4 linked regions of the Saccharomyces cerevisiae S288C genome follow. The protein of the gene in region 2 binds, or shares a complex with, the protein of the main gene of each other region. Each region holds a gene or a part of one and is shown on either strand. Other genes may lie near its edges.

Region 1 (2,649 bases), on a different chromosome or scaffold from region 2:
AAACTTTTATCATTAATCTCTCTAAACCATCCATCTTTGATGTAAGGATGCTGTGAATTATTAACCATAATGTATAACTGAATCTGTCACTTTATCCTGCCTGTCTCATCGGCGTTTTGATATTTTATTTTTAACTAAAATCAGCAGCAACTTGAAAAATTTTGAGATAACCTTAAAAAGGATCTAGCAATAAAGAGAAGCTCGAAGTAGCCATGGACACTGAAGAGAAAAAAAAGACTACAGCGTCAGTAGAGCATGCCCGGATGTTGCAAAATGAAATACAACAGTTATTTGCTCAGTTGCGGGATACGAATTCTCAAATTCGCTGCGATCTTAACGAGTTTGAACAAATAAAGGAATCATCTACAACAGCGGATTCAACCACGAACAGTGCGAACTGATAAATTTATATTCAAATATATTTTACATAAACAATATTAATATATATATATATTCCCCCTACAATGATGAATGCGTTTCTGCCGTCACGTTTCCTATTATCACCTTCTCTTAGGTCCTCTTATTGGTGGCATAGGTCTTGATGAGTTTTTTTTGAATAATGGTGCATTCTTTAAGAGATCTGGAACAACGATAAATTTGATCTGTGACCCACGTACGAATATTTGATCCATGTGTGTTACAGCCCCCTGGGGCTCTGTAGCTATTACATCTCTTAGCTGTACGTTCATGCTATCTTCGCTTTCAACAAGTTTACCACGATAAGTCGCTCCCGTTGTTAGCTCCAGAGAAACGATATGTCCCTGTGCCTCATTTAATAATTTCACTGGTATTCCATTCATAGTCATTGTTTCTGATACGTGCCTCGCAGCGCTTTCTGATTCTCTTCGTATTGCTCTTATAAGAATTTTTTAACGATTTCAAAAATATCAAATCTATAGAACGAAAGAAATAAGAAGCTGCCATCCCTAGAAAAGTAAAAACTATAAGGTACCAAGAAGTAAAAAGAGAAATATAGGGATATAATGATAAAAACACGTATAGAGGAAGTTCAGTTACAATTCCTCACAGGGAATACCGAACTTACGCATTTGAAAGTCTCCAATGATCAACTTATAGTAACGACACAACGGACAATTTACAGAATAAATTTACAAGATCCGGCCATCGTCAATCACTTTGACTGTCCATTAAGCAAGGAACTAGAAACTATAATGAATGTTCATGTTTCACCAATGGGTAGTGTCATTCTTATTCGAACCAACTTTGGCCGGTATATGTTGCTAAAGGATGGCGAATTCACTCAATTGAACAAAATAAAAAATCTCGACCTCAGCTCGCTACATTGGATCAACGAAACCACCTTTCTGATGGGAATCAAGAAGACGCCCAAGTTGTACCGAGTTGAATTGACAGGAAAGGATATAACCACGAAGCTATGGTATGAAAACAAGAAACTCTCTGGTGGAATTGATGGCATTGCGTATTGGGAGGGCTCTCTGCTATTAACTATAAAAGACAACATTTTATACTGGAGAGACGTGACAAATATGAAATTTCCTTTAGTATTACCAGATGAATCTGAGCAATTTGAAAGGTTAAAACATCATGCGATAAAGAAATTCGATTCGTACAATGGACTCTTTGCTTGGGTCACATCCAATGGAATTGTCTTTGGTGATTTAAAAGAAAAGCAAATGGAAAAAGATCCTGCTTCTAATAATTTTGGAAAATTCCTATCTTCGTCGAAGGTTCTACTCAATTTCGAACTGCCTGACTACCAGAATGATAAAGATCACCTCATCAAGGATATAGTTTTGACTGCTTTCCACATCCTGCTTTTGAGAAAAAATACGGTAACAATGGTGAGTCAATTAAATAACGACGTAGTGTTTCATGAAACTATACCGAGACACCAGTTGACTGGCTCCAACACTGATAGTAATGAGAAATTTTTAGGCCTAGTAAGAGATTCGGTGAAAGAAACGTTTTGGTGTTTCTCAAACATCAACGTCTTTGAAATTATTATCGAAAATGAGCCTAATTCGGTATGGAATTTATTAGTTCGGGATAACAAATTTGACAAGGCCCTATCGTTGAAAGGCTTGACGGTGAGGGAAATAGAATCTGTAAAACTTTCAAAGGCAATGTACCTTTTCCACACTGCTAAAGATTTTCATTCCGCGGCTCAAACTTTGGGAAGCATGAAGGACTTGTCACACTTTGGGGAAATCGCATTGAATTTTCTCCAAATAAAAGATTACAACGATTTGAACGTAATATTGATAAAACAGTTGGATAACGTTCCCTGGAAATCAACTCAAGTCGTCTTGTCGAGTTGGATTATTTGGAATTTTATGAAACAATTGAATGATATTGAATTAAAGATAAACACAACTAAGCCAGCTTCTACTGATGAAGACAATTTGCTAAACTGGAACCTGAATCTCAAGGAGAAATCGAATGAACTAACGAAATTTTTGGAAAGCCATCTAGAAAAACTTGATAATGAAACCGTTTATCAAATAATGTCCAAACAAAACCGGCAAAACGAATTATTGATTTTTGCTAGTCTAATCAACGATATGAAGTTTTTATTATCATTTTGGATTGACCAAGGAAATTGGTATGAGTCCTTGAAAATTCTGCTTACAATAAATAACCATGACCTAGTCTATAAGTACTCTTTGA
Region 2 (3,043 bases):
TTTCACCAACTTATAGCAGTCTTCTCCATTAGCATCTATGGTGATATCATCACCATGAACAACATATTGGCACTGATATTTATCCATCCAATTGGGATCTGTAACATATGGCGCCGCTTCAACCACTTCCGAACACCACCTATTTGATCTAGTATGCTCATATCTTTCTGAAGAGTTCATTACTGGTGTTCCTTTGTTATGCTGAATATCTTCATCGGTATGCACACCACAGAATAGTTTACCATTTTCTTTTGAAACTGTTCGACGAGCCTGCAAAATGGCTCCCGCATGCCCATGATGTGTGAAATCAAAGCAGCCGTCTATCCAAACTTTATCCGGATCTAAGTTTACCGTCATCCAGTCAGTATATTTCAAGTCCCGATCCTGTAAAGCATTTGTCTCTGGAAAATTGAACAAAGGCTATCAACATCTGCATTCTTGCTTCTTATTTTGGCCGCATGATATCGTGCCACGCGATAACGAAAACAATAGTTCAACAATTAGGCTAAGCTATCGTGGTTGCTGGTATACCATTCTTCAAAAGTTATTAATCTTTTAATACTGGTAATCCATAATCGCGTTCTTTCATCAATCATTATGTTAGCAGCATTCCGGCCTCCTTGAATTTTCGAATGTGCACTACGAGCATGAATGCCTACGCTAGTAACACCAATAGGCCAGGCCACATTGCCGATACTGAGTTTCATATAGGACTGAACGGCTAAATTTATTTCTTTAGGTTGTTGTAAATGATAGAGAACGGTCGCAAGGGAAATAAGTAAATCCGGGGCAAGCTGGTTCCTTCGTAGTTGCAGTAGGAGTGGAAAGAGTGCTTTTTTAGTGTCTAAGAACAGCTCCGGATGATAAGCTTCCAAAGACGCCTTCCAACGAGATAATATTTCGTGAATATATAAATTACATTTCATTGACAAAAGAGGTTTTCCTTCAGTAGAACCAATTTGTGATGGATCAATGATTACAGAGATGGTTTTGTCTTGAGCTATCGCTTCTTGTATCCTTTCTGGCCGATTTTCTAATTTGCTAATGGTGGTCCTAATATCGTCACTCTGATTGTCTGACAGGTTTTCTTCATCTGTACTTTCTTGTTCTACCTGTCGCGGTGTTTCGTCTATGTTTGCGGATTCATGTGGCTGGAATTTCTCAGTGCATGGTGGCTGAACACCTTTAGAGTTGGCCAGCTCTTTCTTCTTCTTAGAAATTTCACCTTTTAAGATACTGGCTAGATCTAGGTCCATTTTATGCTCTTATTACTTGTAGAGGAAAAAACATTGAAGTTCTTTCCATTGGGGCCCTTTCCAAAGGTCGATTCTCTTCTTAACTTTTTCATCTTCCCTTGCGCGAAATGAATAAATTATCAGGCTTGAAATTAGAAGAATAAGACATATGCTGTTGGCTTCAACGCATAACGCAATATTAAGAGTAAAATAGAAGACCAACTTAACACCATGAGCAGTGGTTCAGCAGGGGCACCAGCACTTTCTAATAATTCCACGAACTCTGTCGCGAAGGAGAAATCAGGTAACATTTCCGGTGATGAGTATCTTTCGCAAGAGGAGGAAGTTTTTGACGGTAATGATATTGAGAATAATGAAACCAAAGTTTATGAAGAATCCTTAGATTTGGACTTGGAACGTAGTAATAGACAAGTCTGGTTAGTTAGATTGCCCATGTTTCTAGCAGAGAAATGGAGGGACAGAAACAACTTGCATGGCCAAGAACTGGGTAAAATTAGGATAAACAAGGATGGGAGTAAAATCACACTTCTATTGAATGAAAATGATAACGATTCTATACCGCACGAATATGATTTAGAACTTACAAAGAAAGTAGTAGAAAATGAATATGTTTTCACAGAACAAAATTTAAAGAAATATCAACAACGTAAAAAGGAGTTGGAAGCAGATCCTGAAAAGCAAAGGCAAGCTTACCTGAAGAAGCAAGAACGTGAAGAGGAACTTAAGAAGAAGCAGCAGCAGCAAAAACGTAGAAATAATAGAAAAAAGTTTAATCACAGAGTTATGACAGATAGGGATGGTAGAGATAGATATATACCATATGTGAAGACGATTCCCAAAAAAACCGCCATTGTGGGTACAGTTTGCCACGAATGTCAGGTTATGCCATCAATGAATGATCCTAATTATCACAAGATTGTTGAACAGAGAAGAAATATTGTCAAGCTTAATAATAAGGAAAGGATCACAACTTTGGATGAAACCGTTGGTGTTACGATGAGCCACACAGGTATGTCCATGAGGTCAGACAACTCGAATTTCTTGAAAGTGGGGCGTGAGAAGGCCAAGAGCAATATTAAATCTATTCGTATGCCAAAGAAGGAAATCTTGGATTACTTGTTCAAGTTATTTGATGAGTATGACTACTGGTCCTTGAAGGGGTTGAAGGAACGTACTAGGCAACCTGAAGCACATTTAAAGGAGTGTTTGGATAAAGTTGCCACTCTAGTGAAGAAGGGCCCATATGCATTCAAATACACTTTAAGGCCAGAGTATAAAAAGTTGAAAGAGGAGGAGAGAAAGGCAACCTTAGGTGAACTAGCTGATGAGCAAACAGGTTCCGCTGGAGACAATGCGCAAGGAGACGCGGAGGCTGACTTGGAAGATGAAATAGAAATGGAAGATGTCGTTTAGTTGACAATCAGATTTTCTTCATTAATTTTATATTTACGCAGTTTCTTGAGCCCTATATATACTCTTTTTAAAATTTACAGTTTTGTTTAATTTATTATGTCTCTATTAGTTTTGGCTATCTGTACATATGTATTTAGATGCATTGAAGTTCCGTAAAAGAATGCTTGCTGGAATAAGAGACTGATGGAGAACTTGCCATAACCGCGCAGATACTTTAAAGCACAAGATTGAATTTGTGCTCCATGCAGCCAATGAAAGAAACTCTGAGATTGCTGTGTGCCCTTGCACCGACCAGTGTGAACGTTGTTGTCCATATGGGGCATGCACTCATTATAGAGAAGGAGACATTGAAACATCAGATATTTGTATTAATT
Region 3 (3,698 bases), on a different chromosome or scaffold from region 2:
AGGTGAAACATTATCAAAGTTAAAAGACGCTTTCGTTAAAACAGACAATGTACAAGACGAGATCGAGAAAGAAGAAAGGGTAAGTGTATCAAGGGATACTGAGAAGAAATATATGGAACAAGAAATCAAAAGAGCCGTTGATGCTATAAGGGAAAATGAGGAGGAGACACACAAACTTAATGAGAAACAAAATGGATTAGAAAGTGAGTTGAAATTGAAATTCGAAAAGTCTGAAATCTCTACAAAAGAATTGAATGAGAAAATTGGCTTTTTGAAAAAGGAATTAAAGCTTGAGAATGATCTAAACGAGGAGTTAGTGGGACAGTTATCGAAGACGATGGACAACTTGGAAAACTTAACAATTCCACGAGTTCGTACTCAAAATGGTAACACAAAAAAAAAATCCAGGGCAAAAAAACCAGGAAATGTATAATTAAATAAATAATGCAGTGTTAATAAAACGTTAGTTTCAAAAATACTAAATACATTTCTTTACACAATCAATTCCAGAGCTTGATAGACCTATCCCATCCGCCGCTCACTAAAAAATGAGAATTATTCGAAATATCCAAGCTAATAATTTTATCAGTGTGGCCTGCTAAACTTCCCATTTTTAACCACGTATCACTACTATACACATTGATCAAATTATCATAGCCACAAGAGACAAGTTTCTTTCCGCCGTCTTCCTTTGAAAACCTTACCTGCGTAACGATGTTACGATGCGCCAATATTTGATTTAGTTGGCCTTCATCCCGTTTTCTGATGTCCCAAACATTAATGATTCCATCACCACCACCAGTGGCTACTTGATACCCGTTTGGTGACCAAGCTACGGTGTAAATAGGCTTTGAGTGTCCTGCGAGTGTCATCACCTTACTTCCGGATCTTATATCCCATAGCATTGAAAGCGAGTCCATGCCACCGCTACAAACAAGAGATCCATCGCATTGAAAAGACAGACTAAACACTCCCTTATCATGGCCTTCTTGTAGCAGCAGTTCTTGATGTGTTGACGCATCCCAAAGTCTCCAAGTCATATCATGAGAGGCACTACCTATAAATTTGCCACTAGGGTGGTATTTCACATCAGAAATACGTCTTTCATGTCCCACAAGATCTCCCAATAATCGAAGGCCGCCCTCTTCGTTTGAGTATTGAAAGTTTTTGATGAGCCCGTCTTCTGCGCATGAAATCATTTGATTGTTTGAATCAGGATGCCAATCTATAGCTCCGATTTTCCCTACATGAGAGTCGAGTTTTTGTGTCAATGGCTGCAGTGTTTGAGAATTTAATACCTGAAGATCACCTGCCCAGCTTCCCGTTGCGACAACCATGTCATCGGTAGATAAAGAAACTGCGGAAATAGGCTTCGTAGATACTAATTGAGAGCCAGCAAGCTCTAAATTAGCCATACGCTGTAATTCTGTACGCCGACTGAGTAATTCCTGTCTTGTATTGAACTTTTGATGTCTTTCCATCTCTTTCTGTAGCCTCTTTCGAGATCTTTCAAGTGAATAATTTATCAAAAATCTTCTCGCAAAAATGAGCTCAGATGTTGCTGGAGTGAAGAAGTCCTCATCGTCCTCTTCGTCTACTTCTTCCCCATTTATGTTTTCCATGTTATTAATGTTCTCAAGATCAATTTCATCAACCATTAAAATTTCAGCCAACCGTATTCTTCTTTGTTGTACATCTTCATTCTCCACTACTTCCGGCTTCTTTAAAATTGAAAGCAATCGTCTCACCTCAAGATCTTCTTCTGGTATCTTCTCCAGGACAGCTTGTAATCGTTCATGTGGCAACTGTTTCAGTATATCAGCGGTGCTTTCATTTTGTGTAGCTCCTTTATGTTGCAAATCTACCGGAAGATTTTCAAGTGCAATATATTTACTCATATTCCGTTCAACAAGGTAATAGTACTAGTCATTTCCCTCAGGCTCGTTGCAAAGTTACGATTAGTGATCATGTAACAGCCTTTCCTTTACTAGCTCTCTACGTTTAAACATTTCCGTACTTAATGACTTCGCTTGTAATAGCGATAGTAATACCAGTAGTAAAGACAACAATTTAAGAAACTGTGTATATATATATTTCAGATACCACTACTGTTACTAATGATTCTGTTTTCTCCACTAGAAAATTGTGAACATGTCAGGATCTCTTACGCTACTTAAGGAAAAGCATATACGTTATATTGAATCATTGGATACAAAGAAGCATAATTTTGAATACTGGCTTACCGAGCATCTTCGTTTGAATGGGATATATTGGGGACTTACTGCCTTGTGTGTGCTTGATTCTCCAGAGACATTTGTGAAAGAAGAGGTTATATCATTTGTTCTGAGCTGTTGGGACGACAAATACGGCGCTTTCGCACCATTTCCAAGACATGATGCACATTTATTAACTACATTGTCCGCCGTACAGATCTTGGCCACTTATGATGCTTTGGATGTTCTTGGAAAAGATCGTAAGGTTCGCTTGATTTCCTTCATCCGTGGGAATCAATTGGAAGATGGTTCGTTCCAGGGTGACAGGTTTGGGGAGGTAGATACAAGGTTTGTTTATACAGCCTTGAGTGCACTATCAATTTTGGGTGAATTAACGTCTGAAGTTGTTGACCCTGCTGTAGACTTTGTACTCAAGTGTTATAATTTTGATGGTGGCTTTGGATTATGTCCTAATGCTGAATCCCATGCAGCTCAAGCTTTTACCTGTCTTGGCGCTTTGGCAATTGCTAACAAATTGGATATGCTTAGTGACGACCAACTAGAAGAAATTGGGTGGTGGCTTTGCGAACGACAATTACCAGAAGGTGGACTAAACGGTAGGCCAAGTAAACTGCCCGATGTTTGCTATAGTTGGTGGGTTTTATCTTCATTAGCTATTATTGGTAGACTAGATTGGATAAATTATGAGAAGCTAACTGAGTTTATACTCAAATGTCAAGATGAGAAGAAGGGTGGAATAAGCGACAGGCCTGAAAATGAAGTGGATGTCTTCCATACAGTTTTTGGTGTTGCTGGTTTAAGTTTAATGGGATACGACAATTTAGTCCCCATAGATCCCATATATTGTATGCCGAAATCCGTTACATCAAAATTCAAAAAGTATCCATACAAATAGATGGCAGAGTACCAACACTACCGTGCTTGTTTAAGTGTTCTTATTTTGATGCATTATTTAGATATATATCTCTTCTTGTATAGTTTTCTTTGAGGATGGAACGTACTCCATATACCTAGCACGTCTATTATGAATGAAACTTCCAGGGTTAATTACTTTACAACCGTTGTATGTCAAATCAAATTGTGCAGAAGTAGTGTCGCAAAGAACCATTGTCGATGGTATTGGGCAAAGTGTCAAAGTGTGGTCCAAATCCCATGAAATTGGGCGCAAGGAATCAAGAAATGGCGATAAATGACCCTGGTCTAGTATTGTTTTAACGAGTTTTCTTGTTTCTTGAACCTTTTGTGGTAACTGGTCTGGTTCTTTAACTAATTCATCGATTGGTACAATATCGGTGTCTTTAGACATCATGTTATCGTTTTCAGTATAAACATCTTCGCTCTCGTTGAATGGGAATTCCAAACGGTGTCTTTTGAATCTTCCGGATAAATCGTCCCTGAAAATGACTATTTCTTGGGATAAGTATGCTATTCTAGTTGGATTTGAGCTCCATACAACGTTTTTAC
Region 4 (2,645 bases), on a different chromosome or scaffold from region 2:
AAGTTGAAAAGACATTTTGAGGAGAATCCAAAAGAGCTACAAAGTTTAAGACACGATAAAGAATTACATCCAGCAAGAGTGCAACAGCATTTAAAGCGTGTTCCAGATTACTTGCTTCCTGAATCAGCCAGAGGAAATGGAACCAAAGTCAAGTTTGTTCCTTTCCACAATGCTAAGAAGCGCCATTCACATAAAAAGGGAAGAGTCAGTAAGCCAAAGAATGGTAAAGTAGACCCGTTGAAGAACTTCAAATGATTAATAATATTGATATTTATTCTATATTTTATGTAAAAATCTACTTATTAAAAATGCTCTTTAGTTAAATGTGATAATATAGATGCTTTATTCGTTTTCTTGAATATAATACTTTCGCAAGAGCTAGAAAATCAGCCAATAATAATTGGTCTTACTTCCAAAATAAAAAAAGGCTTTCCGCTGACTGTAAAGTTTCTTACGATGATTTGCTTTCCTTGTTGATTGAGGGCTGCTTGTCTTACTTTTTACTCAACAGGGGTTTTTAACACAACGATAACTGAATCACCTCTTAAGAATAGTTTACTTATGAATCTTTCCCGATTAATTACATTTTTGCCCTTCTTCTCTGTCCAAAGCTCCTTCACATTTTCTAAAACCATATTACAATGCCTGTCGAAAGCTTTCACTCTCGCTATTATTTTATGATTGTTTCTTAATGAGATTATCACAGGTGTTCTTGTCACCATAGCATCATTTATCAGGGACATTGGACCATGTTTGAATTCAAATTCTTCTAGTTCCTCTAATTCTGCTCTAGAGAGTTCATGTTTTGGACGATCAATTATTTGTGAACTGGAAAGATACAAATCAATTACTTTTAAGTTAGTATATAAAAATTCACTCCAAATTATAGGATGTAAAAATGGTTAAGATCAAACATACGACATGATAAAACGGTTTTATAATACTCCTCTAATCAACTGTCAAAGGCGGGGCAAACGTGATGGCGCTTGCTATTAAGAATGATGATGTTCTAGTGATGATGTTCTTGTCATACCTTTTGAGTAAGATAATTTTCATTTGGTAGTATTACCCGTAGTAATATCACGATAGGACAAATTGGTCCCCATAAAGTCACTTCAAGAGCTCATGTACTGTAGGATTGTTCAGTGGTAAATCGACCTCTATTTTCTAATTTCTTTCGTATGTCTTTGATTTCAATTTCTTTTTTAAGAAGCTTTGAATTATTTTGATTGACGGTCATATCAAGTCTGTGCGTTTATTATACAAAAAGAATATGAGACGCAGATGAAACCTCAAAAAGTATAATTTCGTTTACAGAATTTATATAGAAATATAATAATGAAGTATTTGTAGCGAATTTTTTAGATTCATTACATGCAAACAAGTAGAAAAGGCGTCAAGCTAAGACTTTATTGTTGTCATACACCACTTCTGTAAATATTCTGTCCCTGGTGTCTCAATTGAATTGTTTCATGCTTCTCTAGGGCATATAAGGCCTTATCCAGTGCTAATTGAGAAAATCTATGTGTATCTACAAATTCTCTCCTCAAAGTTTGATAAGAAGTAGACCAGCCTATAGGTAATCTTCTTTTTAGTTCTTGTTCAAAACGACGGATTTCTGACAAAGATGTTCCGCTTGCTTGATTTAAGCCGCCAATTGGATCCTGAGACGCTGCGTCCATTGTGGAAGCTTGAAACAATCTAATAGCTTCGTCAACATGTCTCTCCTGTGCAATAGGACTTAATTCTAACTTGGCTAATGATTCTGTTATTCTAATAATAGCTTCTAATTGACGAATGGTAATTGGAATAGACGACCTTTCCGTTGACTCTAATTCGTTGATTAATAATTGCTTCCTAATGGTGACGAAGTTCGATGACAGTTTTTCAGCGGCCTGCGGTGAAAGTCTTGGTGCACATTTCAATCTACAATACGTAATGTAACGTTTCATCTTTTCAATACTAATTTCACTGCCATTTTCCTCTTGTTGGTTTTGCATAGCATTAGCATTTCCTGTATGAATATTAATAACGTGGTTAGCTATTGAAATATCACGTTCTTCATTATGGTCATCCTTAACAATAAAAATCATATCAAAACGGGATAAAATAGTAGTTTGGAAATCAATGTTGTCACCAGGAGACTTCAAATCATCATACCGGCCGTATATCGGATTAGCAGCCGCTAAAACACTAGTTCTAGAATTTAGCACTGTAGTGATACCAGCTTTTGCGATGGAGATTGTTTGCTGCTCCATAGCTTCATGAATGGCCACTCTATCTTCATCTCTCATTTTATCGAATTCATCGATGCATACAACACCACCATCGGCAAGCACCATAGCACCACCTTCCAAATAAAATTCTCTTGTCATCGGATCTCTTTGTACACTGGCAGTTAACCCAGCTGCAGAAGATCCCTTACCAGATGTATATACCGCAATAGGTGACACTTTCTCCACAAATTTCAATAGTTGAGATTTGGCGGTACCTGGATCACCTAATAATAGTACATTGATATCACCTCTTAACCTCATACCATCGGGTAATATCTTCTTGGAACCACCCATCAATAAACATACAATGGCTTTTTTTATATCTTCATTACCAAAAATAGAGGGGGCAATAGAGTTGGTCAAAATTTC

Evidence for each region.
Region 1: PRP18 (region 2) and SMD3 share a complex: the UniProt entries of both Saccharomyces cerevisiae proteins name them as parts of the U4/U6-U5 tri-snRNP complex.
Region 3: PRP18 (region 2) and PRP4 share a complex: the UniProt entries of both Saccharomyces cerevisiae proteins name them as parts of the U4/U6-U5 tri-snRNP complex.
Region 4: PRP18 (region 2) and SMD2 share a complex: the UniProt entries of both Saccharomyces cerevisiae proteins name them as parts of the U4/U6-U5 tri-snRNP complex.

Annotation. Positions count from the first base shown.
Region 1 is NC_001144.5:433,658-436,306, forward strand, and holds SMD3 (mRNA splicing protein SMD3), read right to left. Parts: upstream 807-2,649; coding exon 501-806; downstream 1-500. Other genes in the region: SPE4 (spermine synthase), read right to left, coding at 1-68; YLR146W-A (uncharacterized protein), read left to right, coding at 213-401; tethering complex subunit PEP3, read left to right, coding at 984-2,649. UniProt on the Saccharomyces cerevisiae protein: Plays a role in pre-mRNA splicing as a core component of the spliceosomal U1, U2, U4 and U5 small nuclear ribonucleoproteins (snRNPs), the building blocks of the spliceosome. Also binds telomerase RNA and is required for its accumulation.
Region 2 is NC_001139.9:504,283-507,325, reverse strand, and holds PRP18 (mRNA splicing protein PRP18), read right to left. Parts: upstream 1,257-3,043; coding exon 501-1,256; downstream 1-500. Other genes in the region: ECT1 (ethanolamine-phosphate cytidylyltransferase), read right to left, coding at 1-357; transcription factor IIF subunit TFG2, read left to right, coding at 1,467-2,669; PEX31 (peroxisome biogenesis protein), read right to left, coding at 3,000-3,043. UniProt on the Saccharomyces cerevisiae protein: Component of the U4/U5/U6 snRNP, binding principally to the u5 snRNP. It is not absolutely required for the second step of pre-mRNA splicing at low temperatures but is required at higher temperatures.
Region 3 is NC_001148.4:890,532-894,229, reverse strand, and holds PRP4 (U4/U6-U5 snRNP complex subunit PRP4), read right to left. Parts: upstream 1,899-3,698; coding exon 501-1,898; downstream 1-500. Other genes in the region: HDA3 (Hda3p), read left to right, coding at 1-433; Rab geranylgeranyltransferase BET2, read left to right, coding at 2,152-3,129; DPB2 (DNA polymerase epsilon noncatalytic subunit), read right to left, coding at 3,187-3,698. UniProt on the Saccharomyces cerevisiae protein: Involved in RNA splicing. Is required for the association of U4/U6 snRNP with U5 snRNP in an early step of spliceosome assembly.
Region 4 is NC_001144.5:692,656-695,300, reverse strand, and holds SMD2 (mRNA splicing protein SMD2), read right to left. Parts: upstream 924-2,645; coding exon 919-923; intron 829-918; coding exon 501-828; downstream 1-500. Other genes in the region: DBP9 (ATP-dependent DNA/RNA helicase), read left to right, coding at 1-255; MCM DNA helicase complex subunit MCM5, read right to left, coding at 1,419-2,645. UniProt on the Saccharomyces cerevisiae protein: Plays a role in pre-mRNA splicing as a core component of the spliceosomal U1, U2, U4 and U5 small nuclear ribonucleoproteins (snRNPs), the building blocks of the spliceosome.